Linked DNA regions of Xenopus tropicalis. The protein of the gene in region 3 interacts with the protein of the main gene of each other region in a biochemical or structural test. Links are inferred from orthologs where the notes say so. Each region holds a gene or a part of one and is shown on either strand. Other genes may lie near its edges. The genes, in order: sncaip, hipk2 and siah1.

Region 1 (10,126 bases), on a different chromosome or scaffold from region 3:
GTAGGTACACATGGCTATTAATAAAATCTGATCTATTAACAACTAGGATTTTGCATCCAACATGACAATTGGAAGGGAATATGAAGGTTTTGTAGGATGCCACAAAATCTTGAGCTGTTGCATGATGAGTTCCTATGGGTCAATTAAAGACAAAAATCTACCGTGTCGATCTGACCTGTTTGCCAGCACAATGCGACCAAACAAGAATTACCTTTATTGCTAAGCCAGCAGGAGTAAGTTTCTCATCATTCCTTTCACTCAAGCAGTCTTCGCCCATGAGAGAAGTAAGGTGCTGCAAGCATTCGGCATGGCCCTGGGATGCGGCAATATGCAAAAGGTTGTTTCCATTTTCATCATGGATCTGATCCAAATTATCAACGGCAATGTGCGGCTGTACAAAGGAACAAAGGAAAAGCACAACTATCATTGCAGAAAAATTTATGGAAAGAATCTGTCTTTATATATGTTGTAAATTTACCATATCTGGAGCAAAAAGCCACAATAGGCAATATGTTCTAGTTTTTGCTGTATTTCTTTAGTTAAAGCTGATTTCAAGGCAAACCAAGAAAGATTTCCAGTTAAAACATCATATTTTAATAAGAGAAGGAGATGGAGCAGTGTGCTTGCCAAGATGTTCTGGCATTTAAACAGCTCTCAGTAAAATATGATGAATTCATGAACATTTCTGATGGATCTGCATTATGGCAGCCATTACCTTTGTTATAAATGTTTGTGTATAAAAGGCAAACCTGTTTGTCAGTGCTGTAAACAATGGCATAAAGGTAATGCAAAATGATGAAAAAAACATATAAAGGCATAAAACTGAGTGGGAATTCATTGCTGCTAAATTAAGTTTTACAATCTTTGGTCAATAATGCACAGAGTCAACCTATATAATAGTTCCCAAGCTGATACCTGTGTCAGGTAGAATGTTATTTATGCAAGAATGAAAGAGAGAAGACGCTACTGTGACTCAAAGATTTATAAAAATACAAACCATCGTTCAAACCAAAGAATACATGAAGAATGCAGAAACAAAATGGCATCTCTGAATTCCTCCCCACCTGTCAAGGGATAATAATGGTGGTTGTAGCTGAACAGCCAGAGGACCACAGGTTGGACCTTCCTTCAAACAGTATATTTAATAATATAATATACGTAAATGTATATGGCAGCATGGTACAGCTTTTCTAATTAAGATACACATTTAGAATGGCTGAGGTGCCTGGTGATATACCCAATAAAACAACACATTGTGTTCCTGTAGATAGCACAGACATGTCAAATAGCCAGCACCATTAGCATCTGCAGACAGCCGTTGCCAATCTCTTTCTGGAAAGCTGACAGGTTGGCTTGCCTTCTGTCTGTCTCCCTTTTATCACTTATTACTTAGTACAACATCTGCAGCCCACACCACTAGTAGACTCAGCTATATAATAATTACAGGAAGGCAGGCTGAGTGCCTAGTTGGGACACTGTCCAGTCAGAATAAACTCTCATTATTCCAAGAATACTGTTAATGATATTTCCAACAATGACTTACTATTCTAGACTGTAATTATCCATAAAGAGGTTAGGTACAGAATGATTCCACCAATGCTCACAGTAGAGGGCTAAATTGGCTTATAGGTAAGGTACAAATACTTTCCACAGCATTACTTACAGATGCAGGAAATCATAGAGTGGTGCCCCCAAAATTCTAATTTTTCCTTTTAATGAATGATTTTTGTTTTTGTCAGTCTTTTATTTTTTCTTGGCAGAATACCCCTCGAACCAAACATTTAATTAGGAAAATTTGCTGTACCACAAGAACTTCATATTTACTTAAAATAATATGCCCTCCCTCACAACTTTTATTTTAGCTAAGAACAATGTGTTGCTAAGAGTATATTTTGATTCCATACTAAGAATTATATGCCTTGCCCCAGATTTTTATTATAGCTGAGAAAAATATATCATATAGTTGCTCCTATACCTTTATCTGGGCTTACCTGTATTTTAAATGAGCATAAGATACCTTTCCCCTAGACTTGTATTTTAGCTAAAAATAATATGTCTTTCCCCCAGGACATTTATTTCTGCTGAGTACAATATGTCTTGCCCTGAGACTTTTACTTTTTGCTTAAAATAACATGCCTTGGCCCCAGGGACTTTAATATATTTGGTGATAGATGATATTTAAGTTTTTTTGGAGAATAATGAAATTTCAAGAACCAAACTACCATCTATCAGCACAGATTTAGAAGTCTCTGGAGAACAAAGACTAACATTACCTTCTTAAAGCCTAAATAAAAGCCCAATTCCCAACAGCTGCTCAGTATGTAAGTATGTATAACTTTATTTAAAGAGTGCTTTTAGGATACTAGTATTTTATGATTATGGTAATTCTGAAGAGCAAGTGTCCAACCTACCACTTGCACAAAATAACTACTTTGATAGATATCTTTTGATAAAACCCCTTTCTATTAATCTTGTTGCAAGATGGTCCTTTTTTGCCAACGCCATGTATTCTACACCATGTGGGACGTGAAGCGTTAAACATGGTACTATAAAGTTCAACATTATGATTCTTCAAAAGAATCTCCATTCAAGTGGAAATCTGGTAACATTATTTTGAGCTGACTGTGTCAGGTTTTTATAGTTATTCATTTTGGACTATAATGTGTTTCACCAAGTGCTAAAATCCCTTGGAAGGTTTCACTACTATCGTTTCAAAGCTATATTCCAGACAGTTGCACAAATTAACAAATTAAACTTATAGTGAATTTCCCTGAATACTATATAATCTTATGAGTGCCGGAGGGTTCAACAGCACATCTGTCATCAGAATCAACGCACATAAATTTTATTTATAGCAGTCAAGAAATTACATTTGTCAACTGATTCAGTGCAGGTGTCTTTGTGTTTTTTGTAAATCATGGAAAAGTCTTTAAACTTGAGATGTGATTTCATTTATTTCACTTATGTATATATATACATATATATATATACATACACAGGTATGGGATCAATTAGCTGGAAAACCCATTATTCAGAAAGTTCAAAATTACGGGAAGGCCATCTCCCATAGACTCCATTTTAATCAAATAATTAAAAATGTTAAAAATGATTCCCTTTTCTCTGTAATAATAAAACAGTACCTTGTACTTAATCCCAACTAAGACATAATTTATCCTTATTGAAGGCAAAACAATCCTATCTGCATAACAGGTCCCATACCTGCATGTATATGTATATTTACACACAAGAGTTATGAATAATCTATAAAATGTTATTATAAACAGGGATTAACGAAGTCATCAGCTCTGCTTTGTGCTTTGTGATGTCACATGACAAACTAAAATGTGCAGTTTCATATATAAAAGCACTCGGCTTGTGGCCTTGATCTTCTATGTGGTGTTGGAATTCCTCAATGATTTACAACAGGGGGTACGGTATTCCCTCTATAATGTATTTGCAGTATAGTCTAGGAAATGGCTTGCTCTTCTCTGATTGCATGACTTGCCATGCCCTAATGGAGATTCATTGCAGGAATTGCCCAAGTACCTTTTTAATTGTTGCATACCAGTAGAAAATGACACACAGTAAAATTAATTGGACATGTATCTAAAGGCACAAAGAATGAATAGCCTAGGTCCCATTGTATAAACAATGCCATTATATACATGAAATCAATTATATTTTGTTAACAAACTTTGCACTAATGGAAAAGACCACAAAATTAAGCAAAAACCAACACAAACTTACATAAAATGCCTGGTGCCATCCAGCAGGTAATACATATTTTCCTAATTAACTCCAACCTGGCGAGCATTTATAGTAATTGTGGTTAGAGTAACAGAGAGGCCCAACATATAACCGTACACGTTAGGTATAACTGTCAGCAAAGAGTAAGCCAGAATAAGGCTACAGGTTTAGAATGTGCACTAGAAATGCATGTTATTTTGTAATGTAAAAGACCAGGCTGCATGAATTGCTTCATGTTTTTAAGCTATTATTTGTCACTTGGTAACCAATAATAATGGCTCCTAATTAGCAAAGCTTTGACTAGCAAAACACTTTGCATGGGTCGGGGGATATTTATCTTTATGCTCAGCCTCTGCCTGTGAAGTCTGTGCTGTGAAGTGCTGGCAAAAAAGTTCCTCCGAATACTAATTGAAGGACAAGAGGCAGGCCGGTGTTCCCACGGTGAGCAATGACAAGCAGCTGATGGCAGCCAGGCTTCCTTGCATTGATAATGAAAGCTATTTCAAAGCTGACACAGTGTAAACATATTGAAAAATAAATAAATAACTCAATTAATCATGACGAAAATTTGTTGGTTCTTGCGGAAATGAGCTACAACATATGCATCAAATTATACCCAACTACTCCTCCCTGTTTCCCCTCTTTGTCACCTACACATATATACATACATATATATAGATTCAGTTCCCATTAAAGTGTTTGTGTTTTGTTTGCAAACAGTCTGCAGATTGCAGTCTTTGCTACATAAAATTCTTCTGCCTCCTCAAAAACAAACATTAAAGAAAAAGTTTTGACTCACCAGCAAAGATATTTGGCCTTCTTTAACAATGTTTATTATGCTTTTTATTTTCTTCATATCTTCACTTCTTTCCTCAGAAAAGTTCCAGTTGAGATTACCATTTATTCCATCCAGTTGTGTGTCGGTAGCTGCTCCCTGCAGATGGAAAGCCCTGAGCTGGCAGTTTGGCATATTCTTTTCAAGTTTCTGTGCATGGGAATCCGACAAAGTCCTGTTAAGAAAGCCCTTGTTCTGGTATTCAGGTTCATGGACTGAGCCACTTTGAATACCAGACTGAGAAAGCTCTAATCCCCCAGATGAATGCCTGTTCTGATCAAGGACAGAGGGCTGGGCAGGGTTTTTAACAGGGGATAGCACACAAAATTGTGCACCGTTTGATGATAAATTTTCTACGTTTCCAATAGTCCCAGTTTTTCCTTTGACCAATGGGTATATATTTGAAGTCCTTTTCTCAGCTGCAACCTTAGTAAATAGACTGAGCTGTTGGCTGGATTTGATGTAAGGCACGTCCAAAATCTCATCCATGTCCAAGTCATAATGTTCAATTTCACCAAGCAAAACACTTGCTTCAATACTCTTAGTTTTATAGCCCCCATCATCAGCAGGAATGTTCTCTGTGGTGCTGGACTTATCTGGATCACCATTCTTTTGGTTTTCCTCTTTTTCTTCTTTTTGGTCATCACTTTCATTGATCTGAGGGCTCTCTGGCTGATGTTTTAGTGGGGAAACTCTTTTCACTGGTCTGAATTTACTATAGACATCTGCAATTCCTGTTGGCTTCTGTGTGTTTCCAATAAGAGTTGACACTCCACAGCTCCAATTTGTGCTGGAAACTAAAATATCATGAAAACAAATCATTATTTAGGAAGGCTTTCAAAAGACATTCACATTAAATGAACCAAAAAAATATATGTGTGAAGTTTCTTTCTTTATAGACAAACATTTTAGGACATTTCCCTTCAAATTATTTATGGGGTACATTGTAATTATGTCAAATCATTGGGCCTGGATAAAATATTCTAAATAGACATCACAACTCAACTATACACCTTTTGAAGTGAAATACAAGAGAAAAATGGGGGAAACTCTAGTGGGGGTCATTTTTTAAACTCTGGGCAGTTACTTCCAATCAGAAGTCTGCCTTAATTGTTACGCAGCTGGCTGGTAAAACATAATCACTGGTTTCTGCAGGTTCCTGTCCAGGTGTAAATTCACCCAGTGTTTATAAATGAGCCCTGAATCTTCTCTGCTACCATAGGACATTACAGAAGATGGCTTAACCTATAGGTAATACTGCAACTAACCATTTTCTATTCTTTCTTATTCCAAAAATATCTGCCATTGTAACCCTACTCTGAATTTTGTAAAGCAAAAATAAATAAATATATATATATATTCTCACTCCTTTTCGACACTGAATGTTTTTTAGGCAAAAGAAAGGAAGAGGAAATATACACATACGACCAGTCTGTATGTGCACTCCGCAATAAACAGTATTTTTTACACGAGCAAAACGTTTTGTATGCATTTCCTCTTCCTTTCTTTTGCCTATTGCTATATGCACTTAGCCAGGTGCACCAACGGATAACGGACTGAGTTTACTACGGGGAACTGTGAGTGTATTTTTGTTTACTGAATGTTTTTTAGACACTGTGGTTGTTGTATTTGTCACTTTGAAAAAGGCTAGAGTGCTAGCCGAATTGTTAGTCTCCCCCACAATAAGTGTATAAGTCCTGTGAGTACGGATCCTTTACATTAGAAAGTCGGCACTCACGATAAAGTAAATCAGACAACCTGGGTGCAGTCCATACAAATCATTGAGACCAATATCATCCTACGAGGAATCAGCACTCACAGGACTTATGTGCAAAAAAAATTTTTTTTTGTTCTCCAAATAAAAATCTTTTTTTGCACATAAGTCGTGTGAGTGTGGATTCCTTGTCGGATTATTTTGGTCTATATATATATATATATATATATATATATATATATATATAGGACAATATGTGAGCTAAAACTATAAAAATGTAATTGTAAGTGACAGTATTTTCTACTACCCTTCTTATGGCTGCTGAACCAGGCCTGTTCCTGTTCTTCTATGGTAAATAAACTTATGGGCAGCTTTAGGCATCAACTCAATATTCTTAGAGAGTACAAAAATGTTTGTGATTTTTTTTAAGGGTGGGTCCTGTATGAAAAATAAACAAAACTATGCCTTGTTCTGCTGGAATAAAATGTGTTTTGTTTCTGGTGGAAATTTGATACTAGGGGTATTTAGTCTTTCAAGCTAGGAAAAATGTAGGGATACAGCAACTTTTACAATGGCTTGTATGAAAAGCCTATGCAGGGCAATCAGAACAATTGCTTTATTTAATAATGTGATGTTTTAGAAGGAATTTACTAAAAGTAAAGTAATGATTTCCAACAAATTAGCCAACAAGTAAGTATAGAATTATCATGCTAAAACTTTGGAGACAAATTACTTTTTAAGAGTATCTAAAAGTCTGTGAATTTAATCCTGCTGATAAGGAATCCCAAATATCATATATATTGATAAATATATGCTATAAACAGTAAAAGTAATTACATTTTAAAGCCAATTAATATTTATGAGGCAAACTAGATAAATTCAAATTGCTCCTATAGTTTATGAGAAAATATCATGGAGCATGTCAAGTTGTTTTGAACTCTGTGATCTTCCCTGCACAAATTTAGGGCAGCATGCCGCCCAAGCCACAGTGAAACAAACAGAGCAATGGAGACCGGACACACAGAAACGTCAGCATGTCCTCTCCCCACTGCTCCGTATGTGAGCTAAGTGGGTGCACATGCGCGGAAAGGAAGAAGGAGGTGGGTGGGCGTAGAAAGGAGGTGGTCATGGGGGTGCCCAGTTATCAAATCTGGCCCCGGACACAGCTAGAAAAATGTTTAAGTGTATGGGCAGATTGTCAGCCTGCGTTTATCTGCAAGCTGACAATTCACCTATGTGACCCTACCCTAAAAGATTTAATTAAAGAGACAGCATGCACCCCTTTTCAACATGATCTAATGAATAGGGTTTGTGCTGAACATAGTTGTTGGCTGCTGTTTTAATAACAAAATACCTATAGTTTGCATTATTTCTAGCACTTCTGATCCTGTAGGGCATAACAGGAGCTGATAAAACTTATTAATAGTCCACCAAGAGTCCCTAAGGCTAGGAAGGGGTTTGTTCTGAATAAATTAACCTGTTTATAAAGTTTTAAATCAGTACTTTAGAGTTGACAAAAAAAAAATAGGAAAATAAGTTGTTTTTTTAAATTAAAACTATAATTAGAATGTCATTTCAACACAATGCCTACTTATTATGGTCATTTTTAGCAAATGTGTTCACAACAGCTTCACTATTTCTCTTTTGTTTGTACAATGTATCCTCCTACTTCGGTGATGCACAGGCTGAAACAGGTGGTTGCAGTTTGCAGTCACATTGGTGATATAACGGCAAAGACAAGTTAACAACTTCTAAATGATGGGTTCCTGCCTAACGAACTAATGACCTTAAAAGGATTTACTGAGGCTGTTCTTGTACATTTCTTTCCTTTTATTAGTCAAAAGGATCTCTGATTTCTTGACTACCCAAACTTACAGAATGTAAGCTGATGTAAAAAAAAATTGAGAAATCTTGGCGTTTTAGTAAATCTGCCCCTGCGACTATATAAACGCATGCAAAAAATTTCAAGGTGCATCATTTTGTTACTTTTTTAAAGATTTAAACACCTGGAAAAAGTAGAAAAAATTCTTCGCAATTGGAGCACCATACTATTGGACTTTTCTGCCAAAGTAGATTTTTCTTCATTATTAGAAAAACCAAATAGAGCCAAATCAAAAAGTCATTTGGTTTCAAGCACTGAATAGCCAAAAGCAACACATCTCTTTAGATGATACAAACTTCTGAGGATTTTGCTTAAAGTTGAATAAGCAAATTAGGGCTTGGATTCAGTTTGGTATTTGGCTGGATCTTTTTGCCAAGGATTCAGTATTTATTCAGTGCATCCCTATATAATATAAAAATGAAAACCTAGGTAACAAAAATACTAGAACACAGCATAGAAATAAGGTATTATTTATAAATATAGAAAGATAAGCTTAATTATTAAAGATCAAATAGAGAATCCCACAGGTTTCATTCAAGGTTCCTATCCATTAATCTTGTAGTCATCTTAATGAAGCCAATTCAATTATACTATCAGATTGAATCAATTTAAACTCTCACACCCCACATAAGGATCGGCTGGGAAGATGAAATACTAGCAGGGTAGTTGTGTGAGGTATGTAGCTACGTGATGAAAACTAATTAGTCAAAGCAACATGAATAAATGGATATCGGCATAAACAGGTTTTATCTAAGGCAGAATGGTAATAAATCATAGGACTACACTGCACTTTATTATTTCTATTGATTTCACACGTTTCTACAATATGTTTACAGTTGGATTTCCTTTTGTAGATGACATAATCATTCTCAGGAAACAAAGTTGCTTTACCCCCCTCTGTGCCATAGAATGTAGAATCTATAGTGCTCAAATAAAGGGGCCGTAGTGCTGTAGATTTGACATTTCTGCTCTTTGAACTATGCTGCGCACTTGTTTACTTGGCAACTTGCAACACAGATTAAAGGTCTGGCTGCTGGCACAGACAGAGTTAAAGTTTAGACCTCATTTTATTATTGGTGTGTTACATGATAAATAGTTTGTGTGTATTTGTATGTGATATTTTAATGTCAGGGTGTGAGTCAGACTCCATATTTCATTTTCCAAACTGGAGAGCGCGTTCACTTGCTAATACACATAATGTAACAGGCGCATTGCAGTTATCAATTTAATGCACAATGCAAGTCAAGTAGACTGGAAATGTGATTCTTGAGTAAACACTGTGATAAAGTAAATTCCCTTGTAGCTTAACTGCAGCTATTGGGCTAACAGACCATCCTTATGCGTTTTTATAACACACAATGATGTGTTTTATAATAGCTCTAAACTAAATTGCTTTCAAATATGAGAGCATGACAGATCCAAAGAAACATTATAACTCTACAAATGTAGAACCTGTTCACAATAATGTGTGTAATATTTCAATCTTCAAGGAATTATGGGACTTCAAAATGTGTGTAATATTTCAATCTTCAAGGAATTATGGGACTTCAAAATGTGTGTGTAATATTTAAATCTTCAAGGAATTATGGCACTTCAAAATTTCACACAAAAACTTCATGGGAAAATACACAATCTATCCAAGACCTTTTTTTTCTAGTGTTTCTAGAGTTAAGCACTCTTCCTGTGATAAATTCCATATTATGCTTGTGTTGACTCAAGCTCAGCTCATCAGCCATGTATTACAAGGTTGCTTTATGGGCTGCTGCCCCCTTACCCTCCTGTGTTCACCTATTTTGCATTGAAGCAGGGGCTCATCACTACTGTAAAGAGTACAGTTGCACTCTTTGCACTAGAAGGGTCAAATTTGGCTTTTTAAAGTTACAAAAGGCAGCTTTTTGCCATGCCTGGTTAAGTGCTACCTCAAACAATGTTCTTACATTGCCTAATG
Region 2 (10,666 bases), on a different chromosome or scaffold from region 3:
ACATCTGCCTTACCCCTCCATATAACCCATGGCCTAGGAGCACCAATCAGGGGAAGCCACTGTTGTATTGTGCTGGGATTCCCATAATCCACCTTGGTGTTCCTCCTCCCTAAAGGACTCCTGTACCAAAGAGCTGACAATCTGCTGCTCACGGCTCCTGCTTTTCCCCTTTTCCCAAGGTCAGAGTTGGAGCTCAGAATAAACAATCCCCTATGCACACACACTCACGTGCACACAAGGATGTACACGGACGCACACAGGGGGGCGTTATCCTTTTAAACATCCTCACAAGGATTAAATCCTAATCTGAGATCAGACTTTGGCCAAGTGAATGTCACAAAGGACGTGGTAAAATAAACTCGACTTTCGGGATCTCGACCAGAATTAACCAGCGCTGTGCCGCTATTAGAATTGTGGAGTTTTGTTTTTTTTAAACCTTTTTAATTATTAACGGTTTACTGTGCGGTTTGGAATTTTTTAAGCACTATCAGGTTGCACTACTGACACTGGGGGTGGGAATGTATATTCATGTACATTTTATTAAATTAAAAAAAAAAATCTGCTTTCCGGTTGCCAGGGTCGTGGACCTTAGCAACCAAATCACTAGAGGGTATATAACTGCACTGGGCTGCAAGAAACCATTCTATATGTAAAGGGAATTGATAAGAATGGACACTAGTGGGGATCATTTATAGACACTGGGCAGTAACCCATAGCAACCAATCAGAAGGCTGCTTTCATTGCTCTACCTGTAGCTGTCTGGAAAAATCTAATCATGGAATGGTTGCTATGGGTTACTGCCCAGTGTTTATATATGGGAGAAGGGAAGAGTTGATGCCAATTAAATTTAGACATTTTGCAAATGGTCTTTTTTTTGGCCTCTCTTCCTGCTAATTAGGTCTGGAAAAAAATGCCAAATTAATTGGAATTGTGGGCACCGCCTACAGAAACTGTTTAACGTAGGGAACTAGATTCTCCCTACTGTTCCTATTAGAAGTAAAAGTTCCAATCTGCAAACCTGGCAAAGACAATTTCCTTTCAAATCATTTTGAAACTTTGATATTTCTTCCACTGGAAGTAATTTTTTTTCATTATCCGGAAACCTGCTATCCAGAAAGCTCTGAATTACAGGAAGGCCATCTCCCATAGACTCCACTGTAATCAAATAATCCAACAAATAATTCATTTTTCTCTGTAATAATTAAACAGTACCTGTACTTGATCCCAACTAAGATATAATTACCCCTTATTGGGGCAGAACAGCCCTATTGGGTTTATTTCATGGTTAAATGATTCCCTTTTCTCTGTAATAATAAAACAGTACCTGTACTTGATCCCAACTAAGATATAATTACCCCTTATTGGGGCAGAACAGCCCTATTGGGTTTATTTCATGGTTAAATGATTCCCTTTTCTCTGTAATAATAAAACAGTACCTGTACTTGATCCCAACTAAGATATAATTACCCCTTATTGGGGCAGAACAGCCCTATTGGGTTTATTTCATGGTTAAATGATTCCCTTTTCTCTGTAATAATAAAACAGTACCTGTACTTGATCCCAACTAAGATATAATTACCCCTTATTGGGGCAGAACAGCCCTATTGGGTTTATTTCATGGTTAAATGATTCCCTTTTCTCTGTAATAATAAAACAGTACCTGTACTTGATCCCAACTAAGATATAATTACCCCTTATTGGGGGCAGAACAGCCCTATTGGGTTTATTTAATGGTTAAATGATTCCCTTTCTCTGTAATAATAAAACAGTACCTGTACTTGATCCCAACTAAGATATAATTACCCCTTATTGGGGGCAGAACAGCCCTATTGGGTTTATTTAATGGTTAAATGATTCCCTTTTCTCTGTAATAATAAAATAGTACCTGTATAGCGTAAAGATCCTTTATCCAGAAAGCCCCAGGTCCGAAGCATTCTAGACAAAGGGTCCCATACCTGTATGCTGGTCAAAAAGTCTATCAAAAAGGGTTGCTCTAGAAAAATGTATTAGAAATTGTGCCTGGGAAAAAATTCTCTTGTCTTTTACATTCCGTCAATTTTCACGGGAAATACTTCTTTTTTGCTAGGTCTACAGAACTGAAACGGTGTTCAAAAAAAGTCTATGAACAAGAGTCGAACTCGGAACTGTTCTGTAAATATGATTGAAAATGAAGAATTTCATGGATAAGATATTTCCTTGGACTAAAATTGTTGAAGGAGCCAGCACTACACATTAGAACTGCTTTCAGCTAACCTATTGTTTCTCCTACTCCCATGTAACTGGAGGAGTCCCAAGCCGGACTTGGATTTCTTACTATTGAGTGCTATTCTGATACCTACTGGGAGCTGCTATCTTGCTCCCTTCCCATTGTTCTGCTGATCGGCTGCTGGGGGTGAGGGGAGGGGGATATCACTCCAACTTGCAGCGCAGCAGTAAAGTGTGCCTGAGTCTGAGCTTTCAGAAGGAGCCAGCGCTACACATTAGAACTGCTTTCAGCTAACCTATTGTTTCCCCTACTCCCATGTAACTGGAGGAGTCCCAAGCCGGACTTGGATTTCTTACTATTGAGAGCTATTCTGATACCTAGTGGGAGCTGCTAGAGACCGATTATATTTTTGTAAATAGTTAAAATAGAGGTAATAGGAACAGTTGAACCAAAAAATGAATGTTTTTCTAAATTCAATCTTTATAAATTGGGCCCATAATATTATCCATGAAGATATAGAAAATAATGTTGCTCAGTAGAACTACAGAATTATCTCTCACTCTATATACACATTATATATATATATATATATATATATATATATATATATATATATATATATATATATATATATATATATATACACACACACACAGTAAAAATCATCTGCCCTGGTTCAAAAAAATAAAGAAATAAGCACAAAAAAGTTCTGCACTCAAGGCAAATAAATATGTAATTCTTTTTTTGCTTATCTATATATTTATATATAGATATATAAGGACTGCCAATGCACCCCAGAGAGTCATTACTGATGTACAGCAGTGGCAGAGGGTTAGTAGCACTTATAGTGGCAGTAGTAATAATAATGCAGCAGTGCCCATTGAGGATAACAGCATAGCAGTATCTATAGTAGTAGGGGGCAGATGACAGTAGCATTGGGGATAATAGTATAGCAGAGGCTATAGTAGTAGGGGGCAAATGACAGTAGCACTGGGGATAATAGTATAGCAGTGCCTATAGTAGTAGGGGGCAAATGACAGTAGCACTGGGGATAATAGTATAGCAGTGCCTATAGTAGTAGGGGGCAAATGACAGTAGCACTGGGGATAATAGTATAGCAGTGCCTATAGTAGTAGGGGGCAAATGACAGTAGCACTGGGGATAATAGTATAGCAGTGCCTATAGTAGTAGGGGGCAAATGACAGTAGCATTGGGGATAATAGTATAGCAGTGCCTGTAGTGGTAGGGGGCAAATGACAGTAGCACTGGGGATAATAGTATAGCAGTGCCTATAGTGGTAGGGGGCAAATGACAGTAGCATTGGGGATAATATTATAGCAGTGCCTATAGTGGTAGGGGGCAAATGACAGTAGCACTGGGGATAATAGTATAACAGTGCCTGTAGTGGTAGGGGGCAGATGACAGAAGTATGGGGCAAATGACAGTAGCATTGGGGATAGTTGTATAGCAGTGCCTGTAGTGGTAGGGGGCAGATGACAGAAGTAGGGGGCAAATGACAGTAGCATTGGGGATAATAGTATAACAGTGCCTGTAGTGGTAGGGGGCAGATGACAGAAGTAGGGGGCAAATGACAGTAGCATTGGGGATAGTTGTATAGCAGTGCCTATAGTAGTAGGGGGCAGATGACAGTAGCATTGGGGATAATAGTATAGCAGTGCCTATAGTGGTAGGGGGCAGATGACAGTAGCATTGGGGATAATAGTATAGCAGTGCCTACAGTGGTAGGGGGCAGATGACAGCAGCATTGGGGATAATAGCCCAGCAGTGCCTACAGTGGTAGGGGGCAGATGACAGCAGCATTGGGGATAATAGCCCAGCAGTGCCTATAGTGGTAGGGGGCAGATTACAGCAGTAGGGGGCAAATGACAGTAGTATTGGGGATAATAGTATAGTAGTACCTATAGTGAAAGTGGGGGTGATAGAAAAAATAATACTGCATTACCCCCTACAATGGCAGCAGAGAAAACAGCACTTTAGCGCCAACAGTGGCAGGGGCCAAAATAGCACAGCAGCATGTACGGCAGCCCCAAGTTAATGGCATGGCAGCTTCTGTAATACTAGTAGGGGTAACTGCAGCGTTGCCCACGGTTTGGGGTTGCAACACTCAATCCTACAGCTTTCAAAACTGCAGCCCCATCTGTTCCTGAAACCCCGCTGTTCCCAGGGGCGCTGGGAATTGTGCATCAACTCAGGTCCGGAATTTGTTTTATAAAATAATGGGGTTCTGCCTGGGCCCCAAAGCTAGGGGAGCTGATGCTGTTAAGCTTTACAAATGGAACAGTCATTTCATGATATTGATAATAATTCAGATTTGGGCGCTCGTCGGAAATAAATCAGGGCTCCCTGGTTGGGGGGGTGGGTTCCTCCTCACTGCCAGCAGGGGGCACCCAATCAGGAATTCTATGAAGTCAAAATCTTCCTCTAAAACCACCCAGACAGAGCACTGGGCTGTGGGATCCGCTGGTGCAGGCTTTTTTATATAATAATATAATCTTTTGTCTCTGCTTCTCGCTGCAGTCGGACTGACGCAGACCGCAAAGCCGCAGAATTGTGCAGCCACTGCAGCAGAAACCCGTACGGCGTTGAACATGTTAAACGGGGATATGGGGTTTTATTTTTTGCTTAAGCGCTGTAATGTACTAAAGAAGGGTATGTTCTAAAACAGCCCCGACATTGTGCCCAGTGGCCTGTCACACGGGGAGGGATCGCTTTATGGCACTTCCATAAAAAGCAGTTAATAAATAACCCTTCCCTGTTATATAAGAACTTTATCCCGAGTAACAGTCTCTCGAAATAGATCCTGGGCAGTTTCTATGTGAATATGTAACAAGGCAAGGGCAAGCGATTCCTCTGTATTGTGCCTTGCTGGGAGTCAAGGAGTTAATGAGAATTCATTCTACACCCTTGCAGAGCCACAGAGGGAGGCGCTGGGGATAGAGATATATATATATACACACACACACACACACATACATATATATATATATATATATATATTTACCTATATACACACACACTAGTTTTTTCAAGGCCAAACTAAGATAATAAAACAATGGCAGCCCCCCCCCCCCCCATCCTTCCTACAGAACCAAGGAGAAAAAAAACTCAAGTTCAGTTTAGATTTTTAACCCCTCGCCCTATCACACCCATTATTTACAGGCAGCCCCTGTGGGTGTATAAGTAGAGACAGAGGAATATATACAACATATCCCGTATAATAACAATATATATATAATAGAGGTGAGAATTTGGTGTTGAGGTGAGGTAGAGAAGAGGGGGTGCAGGATATTCCATATTGGAAATAGGGGGGCAATGATATAGAGTGGGTTCTAGAAGAGGGGGAGCAGGATATTCCATATGGGCAATAGGGGAGCAAGGATACAGAGTTGGTTCTAGGAGATGAGGGGGTGCAGGATATTCCATATTGGAAATAGGGTGGCAATGACACAGAGTGGGTTCTAGAGGAAGAGGGGGTGCTGGATATTCCAAATGGGCAATGATATAGAGTGGGCTCTAGGAGAAGAGGGGGTGCAGCATATTCCGTCTGGGCAATGATATAGAGTGCGTTCTAGAAGAAGAGGGGGTGCAGGATATTCCATAGGGCAATAGGGGAGCAAGGATACAGAGTGGGTTTTAGAGGAAGAGGGGGTGCTGGATATTTCAAATGGGCAATAGGGGAGCAAGGATACAGAGTGGGTTCTAGGGGAAGAGGGGGTGCAGGATATTCCATATGGGCAATAGGGGGGCAAGGATACAGAGTGGGTTCTAGAAGAGGGGGTGCAGGATATTCCATATGGGCAATAGGGGGGGCAAGGATACAGAGTGGGTTCTAGAAGAGGGGGTGCAGGATATTCCATATGGGCAATAGGGGGGCAAGGATACAGAGGGGGTTCTAGGGGAAGAGGGGGTGCAGGATATTCCATATGGGCAATAGGGGGGCAAGGATACAGAGTGGGTTCTAGAAGAGGGGGTGCAGGATATTCCATATGGGCAATAGGGGGGGCAAGGATACAGAGTGGGTTCTAGGGGAAGAGGGGGTGCAGTATATTCCATATGGGCAATAGGGGGGCAAGGATACAGAGTGGGTTCTAGGGGAAGAGGGGGTGCAGTATATTCCATATGGGCAATAGGGGGGGCAAGGATACAGAGTGGGTTCTAGGGGAAGAGGGGGTGCAGGATATTCCATATGGGCAATAGGGGGGCAAGGATACAGAGTGGGTTCTAGGGGAAGAGGGGGTGCAGGATATTCCATATGGGCAATAGGGGGGCAAGGGTACAGAGGGGGTTCTAGGGGCAGACACAATGCAGGGCAGGGGTAAGTATGGAAGGGTCCATTTGCAGATGGGGGGGCAGGGTGTGGAAATGATAAACACGGGGGGCTCCCAATGTTGGGAAGGGGGGGGGGTTGGAATTAGAAAATCACCCTCAGCTGTTCCTTACCGCAGTCTGGGTCTCTCCACCGCTGCCATACCGGGGGCCTCTCTGGACGCGCTTTGGGGCTCCCCCCACAGAGAATAGGGGGACAAGCTTGTGACCCTGCCGGCTCCCGTCCGCCTCCCGCATTGATCAGTCAGTCAGAGCCGCTGCAGGTCCGGCTGCTCCCCCATCTTACCCGCTGCACCCCAATAAGCACCGGGAACGCCAGTGGCCTGCCCTGGAAGGTGAGCGGGGGGGGGGGGGGGTAAATGCAGATATTGTTTCTAATCAACGCAGCCCCCCTGCTGGCAGCTATTAGAAGCCCCCCCGGGCAGCCTTCCAGCCCCCTGTGTTCCCCTCAGTCCGCACCCCCATGCAGGGAGCCCCCGCACCCAGCCTCCCAGCGAGCTGCACGGAAAGTTGCATTTAGGAAAGAGAAAAAGGCAGAGGGGGGGGGGGGTGCGATCCCTTCTCTGTGTGTCTCTTTCTCCTGCCTTCGCGGAGCAATCGAGCGCCGATCGCATGGATTCCAATGGGGAGGGGGGGGGGGGCGGGGAGAGGCTGTACTTTCTCAAAGTGTCTCCCCCCTCCCCTTCTCCTCTTCTCCTCTGCTGGAGAGGCTGTGTGGGATTTCTGTTTAACCAACACATTTCAATCAGGAGTAAAAGGGGGGGAGGGGGGGATCCTATTAACCCTTCATGGAGTCACAAAGGAGCTTGGTGCAATGGGAGAGGGGGGGGGGGAGGCAGCCTTGCTGTGTTTGTATTGGGGGTGGGTATTGAAAGAGGTCATCTCCCCAGTCATTATCCAGCTCCCTGGGTAGGTTTTATGAAGTGCAAGCTCTTGGGGCTGGGGGGTAGGCCCAAGACTGCATTATTATTATTAACGTTTATTTATAAAGCGCCAACCTATTCCGCAGCGCTGTACAATAAGTGTACTACAGGTGGGCAAAATCGGGCGAATCTAGGCTAATTCGGTTCTAATCGAAACAGAACGACGGGTATAGAAAAAGTCGAATCGGGGACCACATCCGACTAAATTATTTAAGCTGCCGGATCGATATATGTCTGATTTCAGGCCAGATATCGGTCGGGCAGGCCAGTCGTTAGTGCCCCTACACAGGCAGATAAGCTGCCGAGTCGGTCTAAAGGTGGCCATACACGGGCCGACTATAGCTGCCGATATGGGTCCCTTGGACCGATTCGGCAGCTAATCGGCCCGTGTATGGGCAGGGCAGAGCGGCCTGGCCGACCGATATCTGGCCTGAAATTGGCCAGATCTCGATCGGCCAGGTTAGAAAATCCGGTCGGATCGGGGACCGCATCAGCTCGTTGATGCGGTCCCTGATCCGACTGCCCCATTGCCGCCCACATAATCCGATCGTTTGGCCCCAGGGCCAAACGATTGGATTATTTTTTTTTTTACCTAAATGCTCCCCGATATCGCCCACCCGTAGGTGGGGATATCGGGGGAAGATCCGCTCGCTTGGCGACATCGCCAAGCGAGCGGATCTGCTCGTGTATGGCCACCTTTAGGGACCCATATCGGCAGCTACAATCGGCCCGTGTATGGGGACCTTTAAGCTTGGCGATGTTAGCAAGCAAGCGGATCTTCTTCAGATATCCCCACCTACAGGTGGGTGATATCGGGCGAATCCAGGCTAATTCGGTCGTTTGGACCTGGGGGCAAACAATCGAATTAGAGTGCCAGTAATAGGCGAAGTCGGATCGGGGAGCGCATCAATGAGTCGCTGCAGTCCCCGATCCGACTAAATTTTTGAAACTGCACGATTGATATCTGCCCGATTTCAGGCCAGATATCGGTCAGGCAGGCCCGTAGGTAGTGCCCCTACACGGGCCGATTAACTGCCGAATCGGTCTAAGGGACCCATATTGGCAGCCAGGGGCGGGCGTGGCCGACCAGTTGCCCTAGGCAACCCAGGGGGGTGCCATGGGTCATTGCCCCCACCACGTATTTACAAGTGGCGGGGGCAATGACAAAGGAGCACGGACTAGGGGTAGGCAGAAGAGGCTCCCGCCTTGCGCCCCCCAATCGTTGCGCCCCCAATCGTTGCACCTCCCAATCGTTGCGCCCCCCAATCGTTGTGCCCCCCAATCATTGCGCCCTAGGCAGCTGCCTCTTCTGCCTACCCCTAGTTCTGGCCCTGTCGGCAGCTACAATCGGCCTGTGTATGGCCACCTTTACATATAAAGCAATCAATAACCGATACAAGAGGTGAAGAGAGCCCTGCCCAAAAGAGCTTACACTCTACAAGGAGTAACATATAAAGCAATCAATAACCGATAAAAGAGGTGAAGAGAGCCCTGCCCAAAAGAGCTTACACTCTACAAGACTATTAGTCCTGGGCTTCATGGAAAGGAAAAACACAGAACAAAGGGAAAATGATACTGTTATATTGTGTATATCCTATAAGGGCTGCTCTTTAACCCTCAACATCCCACCCACAGGCTACAAGGCATACTGGGGGGGCTGCTCATTAACAGCCACAGGTTGTACACCCCTGATTTATTCAGTATATTTTACCCTGCCCCCCCATTAACTACTGCTTTATAGTGAAACTGTTGTTTGACTGTGTCATAATACCAGTTATATTTATACATAATTGGCTTTCATATTTATTGTTTAATAATATAAATATTTTTCATATTTTATAAAAAGAAAATAGAATGATATGTGGGGGTTACTACATAACACTAAAGAGAATCAGGGTTCTGGTATAGAGTGTTACTGGCACCTTATAGATCCCTATGGAGTTGGGATGGGGCCCATAGATGTCCCAGAAAGTTAATTAGAAAACCTATGCCCTTAGGGCCCCGATTAATTGATAATTGAATAATAAAGCACACGGAGGCATTGCCTGCTCCCCCTTGTACTGGCATCACTGGGGGGGGGGCACTGTTGATCCCCATTGTATTAAAAATTCAATCTGTAACAAAACACTGATTAAATAAAGGGCAAGTGCACCACATATTACACCAGTTTAACCCATTGACAGCAGCACCCAGTAGTATGGTGTCCTTCATTATGGATATCCCTTATTGTCATTTGCCCCCAAATTCTCACCAGTAACTAAGGCAACCAGTTTTTTGTCTCCCTTGGCTCCCTCCCATACCCCCGAATTGTTACCACCGCCATGGGGTGTGAACCTAGAGACCAGTTTGGGTAGGTTTTAGCCAATAGGAACATAACAGCTTAAAACAGTCCTGGCCTTTTAACCTTTTAGACGCCGCCCTGCAATGCAGCAAGGGTTAATGTGGCAGTCAGGCCTGTTGGTGAGGCTGACAGCAAGGAGATTAATTTGGCTTGAGTTCTGTGTAACACTACACCTGTAATTACTGCTGCCTCTTCCTGATATTCCTACACCCCCCCCCCCCCACCACCACCACCGCTGCCATGGAATATTCTCTCACCAGAAATATACCCCTTTTACCATTTCTATTTCCTAGTTTGGGGGTGCTACAGACATTTTTGATAGCATTTAGCCCAGTAGGTCCCAGTTGGAGGGCTTTAGGACTGGAGCAGAGCATTTGCCTGTGGGGGTGAGAGGGCCCTGACCCTTCAAGGCATTTTCATTGGTAGGGTCCCCAGGGGCCGATGTAGGTGAGTAAGGATTGGGGATCTTATAATCACCTCTTGACTATGGAGAAAGTTCAGTTCTTGTGGTGCCCAGTGTGGGGCGCTGACCTGTCCCAGCTCCTTACAATAAGGCACTGGGTTTATATGCAAAACCCAACTAGCGCCCCCCAGTGTTGGGTAGGGGGAATATAGACTTTGTTGACTATTAGTTAGAAAATACCATAGGATCTTTAGGAAGGCCCCTGTCATAGGGGACCCCAATAAAGGACAGTTCCCATCAGGGTCAGACTGGGCGGCCCAGACCCAACCCTTGCCGGCGCTCCCTCTGCCTGACCATTCCTCCCCTGACGCGTTAAATTTACGTGAGCTCAGGGGAGGACATTGGTGGGGGGCCCCTGCGGGGGGGTGGAGTTAGGGTACGCGGCC
Region 3 (10,706 bases):
CTTTATTATGCAGTAAAACTGTTTCCAGTTCCATAAGAATTGGGAAAAGAAAAACACCGTTACTGTATAACAGTCCAGGAATGTAAAAAACTGGATAGTTTTAGTAAAACAGAACAACCACAGTTTCAAATGCTACAGTATACAGAGCTTGCTTTATTTTTTAAGGCATTGCAATTAACCTGTTTAAGTTTTTTGAAGACTGGATGTTGTATGTAATAAAGCACTGTTGGACTGAGCTTCCTAAGGCCCACCAAAATAAGCTCAATATCTAGGGCCTGCCTAAGAAACATTAGATAAAATACACTAATCAGTATTGGTGCAACATGAAAATATGATGGAAAATGGTTCATGAGTAGAGAACCACATTTAAAAGGAGACAGAGAGAAGATGGAAAGGCATTTTGGCATTTTACTGCCTATAGGTTAGCCACATTAGTGCCACCTAGGACTCTATATATTTTCTGCAGAAAGCTTTACCATACCTGAGTAAAGAGCCCTAATAGCTCCTTCCGTTTAAGATAGTAACTGCCATTTTAGCTTGGTCTTTGTAGCTTCCTGCTGCAGCTCTAACTGTAGCTCAGATCACACATTCCTAAGGGAGGGGGGAGTGAGTTATTATGAATTATTATGGGAGGGGGAGCAGGAGAAGGGAGGGGGAGAGGGAGAGAGGCGAGAACTGCACAGGTTTGTGCCCCAAACCTAAAGGAGCCCTAACAGAGAGGAAATCTGATACTGAAGAACATGTTTACAAAAAAATGAGACAGGTAATCTGTGTTTCTTTTGATAGAGGACTCAGTGTAACTTTTCTGTGAGTGCTTATGGCTGTATTTACATAGACCTTTCTGATACAGCTTACTTAGTTTTTACCTTTTGTCCTTTAACTTTTCAACAGCTAAGTCTCTGGTCCCCGGGACCAGAAGCTCAGTAAGCAGAAGGGCTACCGCAACCCACTTCCATGCCTGCACCTTACCTAAAAGTTTTCTCAGCAGGCCCCCCTGTACTGGCTTGTACTACTTTTAGTACGCAGCCCCCCAGAGTGTGTCTGGGGGGCTGCATGGCCTAGTGCTGAAGCACTATTGCACTTAATGCAGGAGCAGTTCTGTGGGAGGGAAGCATACAGTGGATATTAAAAATCTACACACCCCTGATAAAATGTCAGGTTCCTGCGCTGTACAAAAATCATGGAAAGTTAAATCATTTCAGACCTTTTTCCACCTTTAATGTGACCTATAAACTGTACCACTCAATTGAAAAACAAACTGAAATCTTTTAGGTGGAGGGAAGAAAACCAAAAAAACTAAAATAATGTGGTTGCATAAGTGTGCACACCCTTAAACTAATACTTCGTTGAAGCACGTTTTGATTTTATTACAGCACTCAGTCTTTTTGGGTATGAGTCTATCAGCATGGCACATTTTGACTTTGCAAGATTTGCCCACTCTTCAAATCTGTCAGATTGCGAGCGCATCTCCTGTGCACAGCCCTCTTCAGATCACCCCACAGATTTTCAATCGGATTCAGGTCTGGGCTCTGGCTGGGCCATTCCAAAACTTTAATCTTCTTCCGGTGAAGCCATTCCCTTGTAAGAAAAGGCTTTCGTCTTGCCACTCTACCCCATAGCCCAGACATAAGAAGAATACAGGAGATTGTTGTCACATGTACCACACAGCCAGTACTTGCCAGTCCTGCAGCTCCTTTAATGTTACTGTAGGCCTCTTGGTAGCCTCCCTGACCATTTTGGAGGGACGTCCAGTTCTTGTTAATGTCACTGTTGTGCCATATTTTCTCCACTTGATGATGACTGTCTTCACTGTGTTCCATGGTATATCTAATGCCTTGGAAATTCTTTTGTACCCTTCTCCTGACTGATATCTTTTAACAATGAGATCCCTCTGATGCTTTGGAAGCTCTCTGTGGACCATGGCTTTTGCTGTGGGATGCGACTAAAAAAATGTCAGGAAAGACAAACTAGAGCAGCTGAACTTTATTTTGGGTTAATGAGAGGCACTTTAGATCATGGCAGGTGTATACTGACTCCTATTTAACATGATGTTGAATGTGATTGCTTAATTCTGAACACAGCTACATCCCCAGTTAGAAGAGGGTGTGCACACTTATATGCAACCACATTATTTAAGTTTTTTTGGTTTTCTTCCCTCCACCTAAAAAATTTCAGTTTGTTTTTCAATTGAGTGTTACAGTTTATAGGTCACATTAAAGGTGGAAAAAGTTCTGAAATGATTTATCTTTGTCTCATTTTTGTACAGTGCAGGAACCTGACATTTTACCAGGGGTGTGTAGACTTTTTATATCTACTGTATATAGTCATGGTACATTAATTTAATTTTCACTATGTTATATACTCAAAGTATATAGATATATGGTTATACCTTCAAACCAAAGGAAAGCTCCAACATAATAGCACTTTGTCAAATAGGCCAAATACAAAGGAAGCAGTAGCTATTAAATGGTATTCTCTTTTCTATCATAGGTTTAAAATCTTGCAATATATTACATGGGGATGCTCCACTGAAGTAAAATTGTTGCTGATTTTTGTATACACACTCCTCGTCTAGTTAGTTTTGAATCATATGAAATTTGGCAACAACGGGAACCAAATTTCCCAATTATCTTATATGTTTATGACATTATTGGGGTAAATTTCATTTTCCTTGTTTCTTCTATTGATTGTATCCATTCCCATTTCATTGGTGGAGGGTTTTTTCAATTTCCTAGGAACCAGTGTGCTTGCTGCTTGTAAATACTAATTTGTCTTGGACTATTCTTTTATTTACTCTAACAGAATAATGTTGATTCCATATTGTTGACATTATGAACACCTTTCTCCATCATGCCTCTGGCACTCAGAATACCATTTTTTTTAGACTGCTTAATATTTTTGGCACATGTGCATGTGAGACGTACAACGTGCTGGTGCGTTTTGTGCTCTTTTAACCCGGCACTTCTTCAGGCGACCTAAAAAACATTTTTTCCTAAAAGGATGTTATTTTTGCAATATATTATATGTATATCTATCTATATATATATATATAGAGAGAGAGAGAGAGAGAGAGAGAGAGATACACAAGACATACATTAAGACCATTGATTGCAAAAACATGGTCAGTGATGTCAACTCCATATTATAACTATGGGGCTTCCCTAGTGAGCAGGGCCTGAGGGCCAGTTAGGGCCCAACTGGGACAGATGTCTTTTTGCTCTTCTAATAATTCCTTGAGATCAGTTAGGGTGGGATTTTAAGTAGTCACTGGCTTACTGTCTTAGATATTACTGGAAACGTGGCTTTGATTAAGGCCCCGACCAAATGTTGCACCTTATTGAAATACCCTTAAAAATGTATTACACGATACTAATTCAGTCCCGTTTTTTTTTATTATTTTTGCGTTACGCTAAGAGTTAACTTAAAATAATGAATCGAAAGTCCCTTCAATGGTTCATTTGTTCCATAAAGCAGTAAGGTTGGCAGGCATCTGCTAACGACGACCGAGAGAGTATATAGATTCTTACAGCAGAACAAGCAAACAATTGCCATTTACCCGTGCAAATTGTTGGTAGGCGTGGTATACGCAAGAGGGCGTGGCTTTCTGCTCGACCATCTGAGGGCAGCCTAATCCGTGGCGGGAGCGCGCCGTGTTAGCGCGGGAGCAGTGACGCCACTCTTTGTGCCCGCGCACGCTCGCTCCCTCTGCAGTGTCTTTCTGTGGAAGTAGGGGGGGTGCGCGCACTCGGAGTACGGGGGACGGCGGCAGCTCCACAGAGATAAGGAGTGGGAAGCAGACCCGGTAAAGGAGCCGTCTTACCGGCGATAAAGGATTTTGTGACCTATCTTCCGGTATCCTGTGAGTGCGATAATTGGTGCGTCACAGTGGAAGCCGAACAGGAAGCGGCATAATAGCAAAGCGGATTCCCTCCTGGGGAAGGTGAGCGCGGCCCGTGTTCTATGAGATGGCAACACTGCATCGGGAGCCAGGATAGCTAAGCCACGGCCCTTCGGCTTTTGTCGTACCATGCAGATCGGGGATGCTGGGAGTTATGGTAGAGCTACATTTGGAGGGCCGCAGGTTGGACTCCGACGCTGTGTATAAATCCTGTCTCTCAGGCGCCCATGGGATAATGCACGGCAGGAGGAGGGGGTGGGGGAGCCCATATTGCTGTGTATGTGGGGGAAGGGTTAATGGATGTTTCCTACACGTGTGGCTATGACATATGTTTGCATACAGAGAAAGTGGCTGGCTGCTGCAGACCCCGACCTTTCTCTATTTGTTTTGTGGCTTTTTATGCAAATAATGTTGGCAAAAGGATTATATGGGTGTCTGCTTATAATGGTATGACATGGCAGCCCCATTGCTGTGGGTTTCTGCTCTTTCTTTCCTTCTGTCAAATACTCCCACATTGCATCATCAGCCCTGCTGCACTTGCACCTTATGGGTGTTCGGTGTTGAAGTGGCAATCTGGCAGCTCTGTCTGGCTAATGTAAATAATCAACACACCCTAACCGCATCATCAGCCATTTGTTAACCCCGGTCATTGTCCCTGCCTATGTAGCAGCCTGTATTGTTGCTTCTAGTGTTATTGTCTTGTTGCCAAACCAAGGCCTGTGGCCTAATCCCTCCTGTGTGTTTTCCCCTCCCCCTTTCCTGATCTGTGTCCTAATTCCCCCCCCCCCCCCCCAGAGAGAAATCACTCGCACTATAGCTGCCTTCCGTTCAATTGTACAAATCAAGGGGGTGCTGCTTCTTGTTGCAGACAATGCTTTTTTTGTGGATGTAGTGACATGTGATAGTTGCTGTGTTGTGAATCCTGGCATTTATGAATCCCCCCCCCCCCAGCTCTTGTACTACAATTCCCAACATTTGGCTGGAGTTGTACACCTATTTACATTATTTCCTTGTTGCTTATTATGGTTTAACAACTAGAGGAGGGGTTTAAGCGGACACCCTTAATTTCTTTCTCATAATTAATTATTTTTCATAAACACATGATTTCCAAAACATCCAATGAGAGTTGCATCCTGGGAATAGCACGGATTTAAGTGTAAGAGATGATGATGATGTACCTAATGCACAGTATCCTAGTACTCCTGCCCACATGTCGAAAACAGCGGTATTCATGTTGAGTTCTTGCGATGTAAAGGAATTTTTCTTTACAAACATTTCAGTTGTTGAGTGGTTATACCCTCTCTTTCGATAGCAAGAGTTATCAGTGCAGCCGCTAAGTGTGATGCATCCGGTCATAGCCTTGGAGTTGTTGTAACTGAGGAAGCACAAATGATTTCATTTATAGGTGATTGTTCTGTTTACTGTTTGTGATGCTGCTTAATTACTATAAATGATGCAACATTTGTGGCTTAATGAATTAATCCTCTGTTTTTAGATTGTCTGTTCAACAGCACTCGGATACATGCTTCATTAGGGTACGCACCTTTATTGTATATCTCTTCTTCCTTATGCAGCTCATTTTAAAGATTAAGTGATAAAGATGAGATGCAAAATGGTGCTGCTAACACATTTTTTTTTTTTAATGCTGTATTGAAAATATTTTTTGCTTTAGAGCTTAGAAGCTACAAAAAGCAATACATTTCTTAGAGCTGGTGGGTAGGAAGTTGTGTTGAGGTAAGGGATCTATTTTTTGGATACCCATTATTCTAAAAGCGTTGACATTACACAGTTTCCTCCTCAAGCAGACGGTTACTCACTTTTGATGGATTTGCCTTTCCTCTGCAATAAGACTATAACTGTTACTTGATTTTAAGCTAGCATAAATCCATGTTGGAAATCAATTCTATTAGTTATTTAATGTTTAAAGTGTTTTAAACATAAGGCCATGGTGCCTCATAGTGATAAAACACCCCTTAACCTGGAAAACTCCAGAACTATGAATAATCAATATTAATTCTCAAATGTATTTCTCTTCTGGTGCCCTTTTCCATTTTGTTTACAGTGAGTTTGTATTAACTATTTGCCTAGTGTTTTGTATAGGGATGCATGGAAATTAGCAATTTGGTATTCGTCCGAATCCCTTAATTCTTGGGTATGGATTCACCCAAACCTGGAAGTTCCCAAAGATGAAGTTGGAAACACCGGTGTGCACGCTTCGTGTACAAGGCAAATTTTCTCCACCAGATTAATTTTGGCCAGACTGCTAAAAGTAGCCAATTCAGTGCATTCCTAGTTTTACTTAAGATTATATATTGTTTTTGTTAATCTCTTAAAAGGAAGAAGGTTGTTTAATAAAGAGCTCCTTATATGTAAAGTTGGAAAGGGCTGGCCATGTTTTAGGCTGAGGGTACACAGAGTGTTTCCTCTCCTGCTCTTAGCCTGAGTTTTTTTTTTTTCTGGTTTCGCATTTTCAGATCAATTCTTACTCTGCTCTACTTTGTGTAGCTGGGCAGAGGCGGAAGCTGCACTTGTCAATGCAGTTTTACTGAGGTGCATAAGGGAGCGGATCCACTTCTGAAATAAACACAGTTTTAGGTAGAAATACTCAACGTGTGCCTGCACCTGAGCGTATTCAATGCTTTTTGGTGCAGGCACAAGGAAGGGCAAGCGTAGGGCAAGCGTAGGGCAAGCGTTTTTCGGCTTGCTGAGAATACGCAACGTGTGGCATTAGCCTTATGTGAACTGTTTATTATAGGGTAACATCAGCTGTTTACATTGCACACGCATGGGGCTTGGATAAAATGTTGGTACTGTATGCTTGTGTTCATGTGGGGCCCCAAAGTTTCTGATGGCAAGTCGCCGGCGGGATGGCAGACGCGGCGGGGCGATTCGCGCGAAATCGCTCCGCCGCATGTGCCATCCCGCCGGCGACTTACATGTTCGCCGGTGGGATGGCAGGGGTAGGCAACTCGGGGAGATTAGTCGCCCGCGAACAGGGAGTTAATCGCGGGCGACTAATCTCCCCCCGTGTGCCAGAGCCCTTAGCCCTACAGAGACCATTCTATCTTAAAAAAGCAAACTCCAGATTCCAAAGGGGGGATAGGGGGGTGGTAGCACAGCTTAAAACTACAAAATATATACACACACATATACCTTTTAAAAAAAAAAAAAAATGAACATATGTATGTATATAAGTGTATATTGATGCAGCCAATATCTGCCCTTTGTATGGGCACCTTGAAGGTGTAAATGATGTTGGAGGCATTGGCCACATTGTTTCTAGCAGGGACCCTAACCAGTAATAGTTCTGCCTGTGCTAGACAACAGCAGTGTGACTTATCTAGTATTGGCATTCAGGATCCTCATAGAAGCACTTACTTGTAACTGCAATTAAGTTTGTGATTCCCAGTTTATGCAGATATTAGACTGGTTTTATGTTAAGTTTAAATCCCCTTGAAGATAGAATTTTATGTTGTAAGGGGGTTTGCTTGGAATCTTATAAGCAGCCACCAGAAAGAGTAAAGACTATGGGTCACTAATGTCCACTCCATGTGCCATTGTTTGTCCAAGATAATCTGTTTTTTCATCCACAATCCCATTATTATATTATAGGATTACATGATAGCTTTTCACAGTTGCTGCTGGAGGGGTTTCCATGATGAGTGATGCTTTGAAAATAGTAAAAGTTTACCTTATTGCAACAGTCCCCAACCAATGGTTTGTGACATGTTGTCCCAGTGTCTTAAAAACAGGTGCCCATTTGTAATTTTTTAGCTTGGAGATAAGTTTGGAAGCACAGAGAGACATTTTTACTCCAATCAGAGCCTCCTGCTGTGGCAGCAGTGCACATGGAGCTATCAAGTAGCCAATCACAGCCCTTATTTTGCATCATCAAGGACCTTTTTTTTAATGCTTTTATGACTCGCCAACACTTTTACGTCTAAGCAAGTCTCACAAGTAAAAAAGTTTGGGGATCCCTGCCTTATTATATGTATGTTTATTATGTTTATGGCCCAGCTTTATAATTTACTGTATATCTTGATTGGTTTTATTTCTTTTTGTCTGTGCATCAGTTCAGATTTTGCCTTACCTTTATTAAGCAAATCGGTTGCGGGAGTGTGTAAAACAAAAAGCACTGGAACACTGTGTAAAACATAAATTTAAAAGAGAATGGGATGATTTGCAAATTGTTTATATCCTATATTCAATTGAAAATAGTACAGAAACAACATATTGTGTAGGAACTGATGCCCCTTCTGGTACCATTACATTTGAACTGTGCTCTGATAACAATGAGGATGGCCCTTAATTTCCGTGATGGCATCCATGATTTCCAAAAAGAATTTCAAATTCTTATTTATCAGAATGTCTTGCTGGATGGTACAGATGCATGGTAGAGTTTTTACTTGCATTTAGTATTTCAGGCCAGATATCGGTCGGGCAGGCCCGTCGTTAGTGCCTATACATGGGCCGATTAGCTGCCGAATCGGTCTAAGGGACCGATATTGACAGCTAGAATCGGCCCGTGTATGGGGACCTTAAGTGGCCCAGCCTCTCTGGGATCTGCTCTTTTTGGCCTTACACCCTGTCTTTTGTTGCCTCTGTCTCAATTTTCTTAAAAACATGTTAATGGCATTAAATTCAAAATGAGAATTTGCTTTTCAGCAACACTCCTTGGTTTCACGATATGTTGTCTTTGTACTACTTGCAATGCAATATAGGGTTTAAATGATATGCAACTCAACTTTTTGCAGTGTTCCAACTAAAAAAACTGTTTAATCCAATATGTTAGAATCCATGATAAAAATATTTGTGTACATTTTAAATTAGTATTATGTTTTATTGAGTTTTATTTGTTGATGTTGACTAAAATAATATAGTCATTGTAAAGCAATTATGTATTCTCTTGGTTTTTTTAAGCAGTATCCAATGTCAATTATATTTAGACCTGTTTACCCATAAAATATAACATTTTCCTTATGTGCCATTTTTTTCTCTTTTTGGTATAGTTTGTGGGTTGGATGTTGCCTTCAGGAAGAACGGAGTGCACAGGACAAGAAATCCAGTGTAAAATAGAGGTAGGGCGAATGAAACATGGAAAAAAATATGTGGAAAAAAAATGAGATAGATTTTAGAACAGTAATGCTTTTATGCTAGTGGCACGAATAACTTTCAAAAGCTTATAATATAAAGAAAATTTTAGTTTTAATGGATGCAGAGGTACTTTTTATATTATGGTGTTTCCACTTTCTTGGAATTGCTTTTGTCTAATTTACACTGTGTGTGTGTGTGTATATGTATGTATGCATATATACATGGAACATTGTAACAACACACAACATTGCAGTACCATCAGTGACATAATTTTTATTGGATATCAAAGTTGCTGCTCATTATGGTATAAAACATTTATATGCCCAGTTGCCATCAAGGGACAGCACATTTTAGGAGGAACAGCTATTTGAACTGGTGCTCATAACCACTACTTTTTTGTTTTGCTCTGTGCTCTTCCTGGTAATGGTAATGTTTTAGCAGTAACCTCAATAATTCACTATCATACACCAAGTTAATGCAGAGCACGCTTCCTGCTACCAGTACTACAAAGTGTGCAGCTGGTTTACTATGTTTATTGCATTGTTGGGTAATCACCAATATGTAATAATCTGCATAGCTCCTAGTATGGGTTTGAACAAAATGAGTAATCTCCACCCATGTAGATTAAATGGTACAAATGGAAACCCTTATTTTACAAGCAGTTTTTTACCATGTGCCTGGCCATAATTTGATAGTTTAATTTGTTGTAATGTGGTGCGGTTGTGTATAGGGTTGCCATCCCACGCGTTTTATTTTTAGGGATTCTGAAATAAAATTGTTAAAGGGCTTATATTGTTTGCTTTATTGTTACATAATACAGTGTAGAAATAGGAAATTTGTTGTTTGCCTTAGAGATATTGTATCTAGTTAAGGTTGCCATACCTGGGGAGATATAAGCTGCTGATTTGGGTCTTTCAGACCAATTTGGCATCTTATCTGCCTGTGTATGGGGCCCTCTGACAGGCCTCCCTGACTGATATCTGGCAAAGAATCAGCCAGATGGCAATGGAGCAGGCTTGCTTTTGCCATTCGAGGGTCACTTTGGGGTCGAGGGCTACATTGGTTCGTTGATGCATTCCTCGTTCTGACGGCTCTTATTCCCGTCATTTTTTACATCAGTCTTTGGCCCTAACTATCTAATTAGCCCGGTTTCGGGAGAAATATTCATTTGTTTGGTAATCCTGCCAAAAAAGTGAATTATTATAGATATGGCCACACTTTTCACTCTGTGGTTGGTATCCCACTTGAAATTAGCAAATATTCTGATGCTGTAACATTAGCTTCTGATTGTTTAGCCCCCACATTGAATGATATAGTGTATACAGTGGTGTGAAAAACTATTTGCCCCCTTCCTGATTTCTTATTCTTTTGCATGTTTGTCACACAAAATGTTTCTGATCATCAAACACATTTAACTATTAGTCAAAGATAACACAAGTAAACACAAAATGCAGTTTTTAAATGAGGGTTTTTATTATTTAGGGAGAAAAAAAATCCAAACCTACATGGCCCTGTGTGAAAAAGTAATTGCCCCTTGAACCTAATAACTGGTTGGGCCACCCTTAGCAGCAATAACTGCAATCAAGCGTTTGCGATAACTTGCAACAAGTCTTTTACAGCGCTCTGGAGGAATTTTGGCCCACTCATCTTTGCAGAATTGTTGTAATTCAGCTTTATTTGAGGGTTTTCTAGCATGAACCGCCTTTTTAAGGTC

Evidence for each region.
Region 1: the proteins of siah1 (region 3) and sncaip form a complex in vitro, tested with the Homo sapiens proteins (2 studies listed by BioGRID, with this or other methods). The link is inferred for Xenopus tropicalis from reciprocal best matches to the Homo sapiens genes SIAH1 and SNCAIP.
Region 2: of the proteins of siah1 (region 3) and hipk2, one has a biochemical effect on the other in vitro, tested with the Homo sapiens proteins (4 studies listed by BioGRID, with this or other methods). The link is inferred for Xenopus tropicalis from reciprocal best matches to the Homo sapiens genes SIAH1 and HIPK2.

What each region holds. Positions count from the first base shown.
Region 1 is NC_030677.2:169,649,123-169,659,248, forward strand, and holds part of sncaip (synphilin-1), read right to left. Parts: intron 5,380-10,126; coding exon 4,547-5,379; intron 392-4,546; coding exon 212-391; intron 1-211. UniProt on the Homo sapiens protein: Isoform 2 inhibits the ubiquitin ligase activity of SIAH1 and inhibits proteasomal degradation of target proteins. Isoform 2 inhibits autoubiquitination and proteasomal degradation of SIAH1, and thereby increases cellular levels of SIAH.
Region 2 is NC_030679.2:7,970,430-7,981,095, forward strand, and holds the start of hipk2 (homeodomain-interacting protein kinase 2), read right to left. Parts: upstream 7,151-10,666; 5' UTR 6,668-7,150; intron 1-6,667.
Region 3 is NC_030680.2:74,032,647-74,043,352, forward strand, and holds the start of siah1 (E3 ubiquitin-protein ligase SIAH1), read left to right. Parts: upstream 1-3,731; 5' UTR 3,732-3,940; exon of another isoform or gene 3,941-4,081; intron 4,082-5,398; exon of another isoform or gene 5,399-5,433; intron 5,434-8,907; 5' UTR 8,908-8,976; intron 8,977-10,706. UniProt on the Homo sapiens protein: E3 ubiquitin-protein ligase that mediates ubiquitination and subsequent proteasomal degradation of target proteins.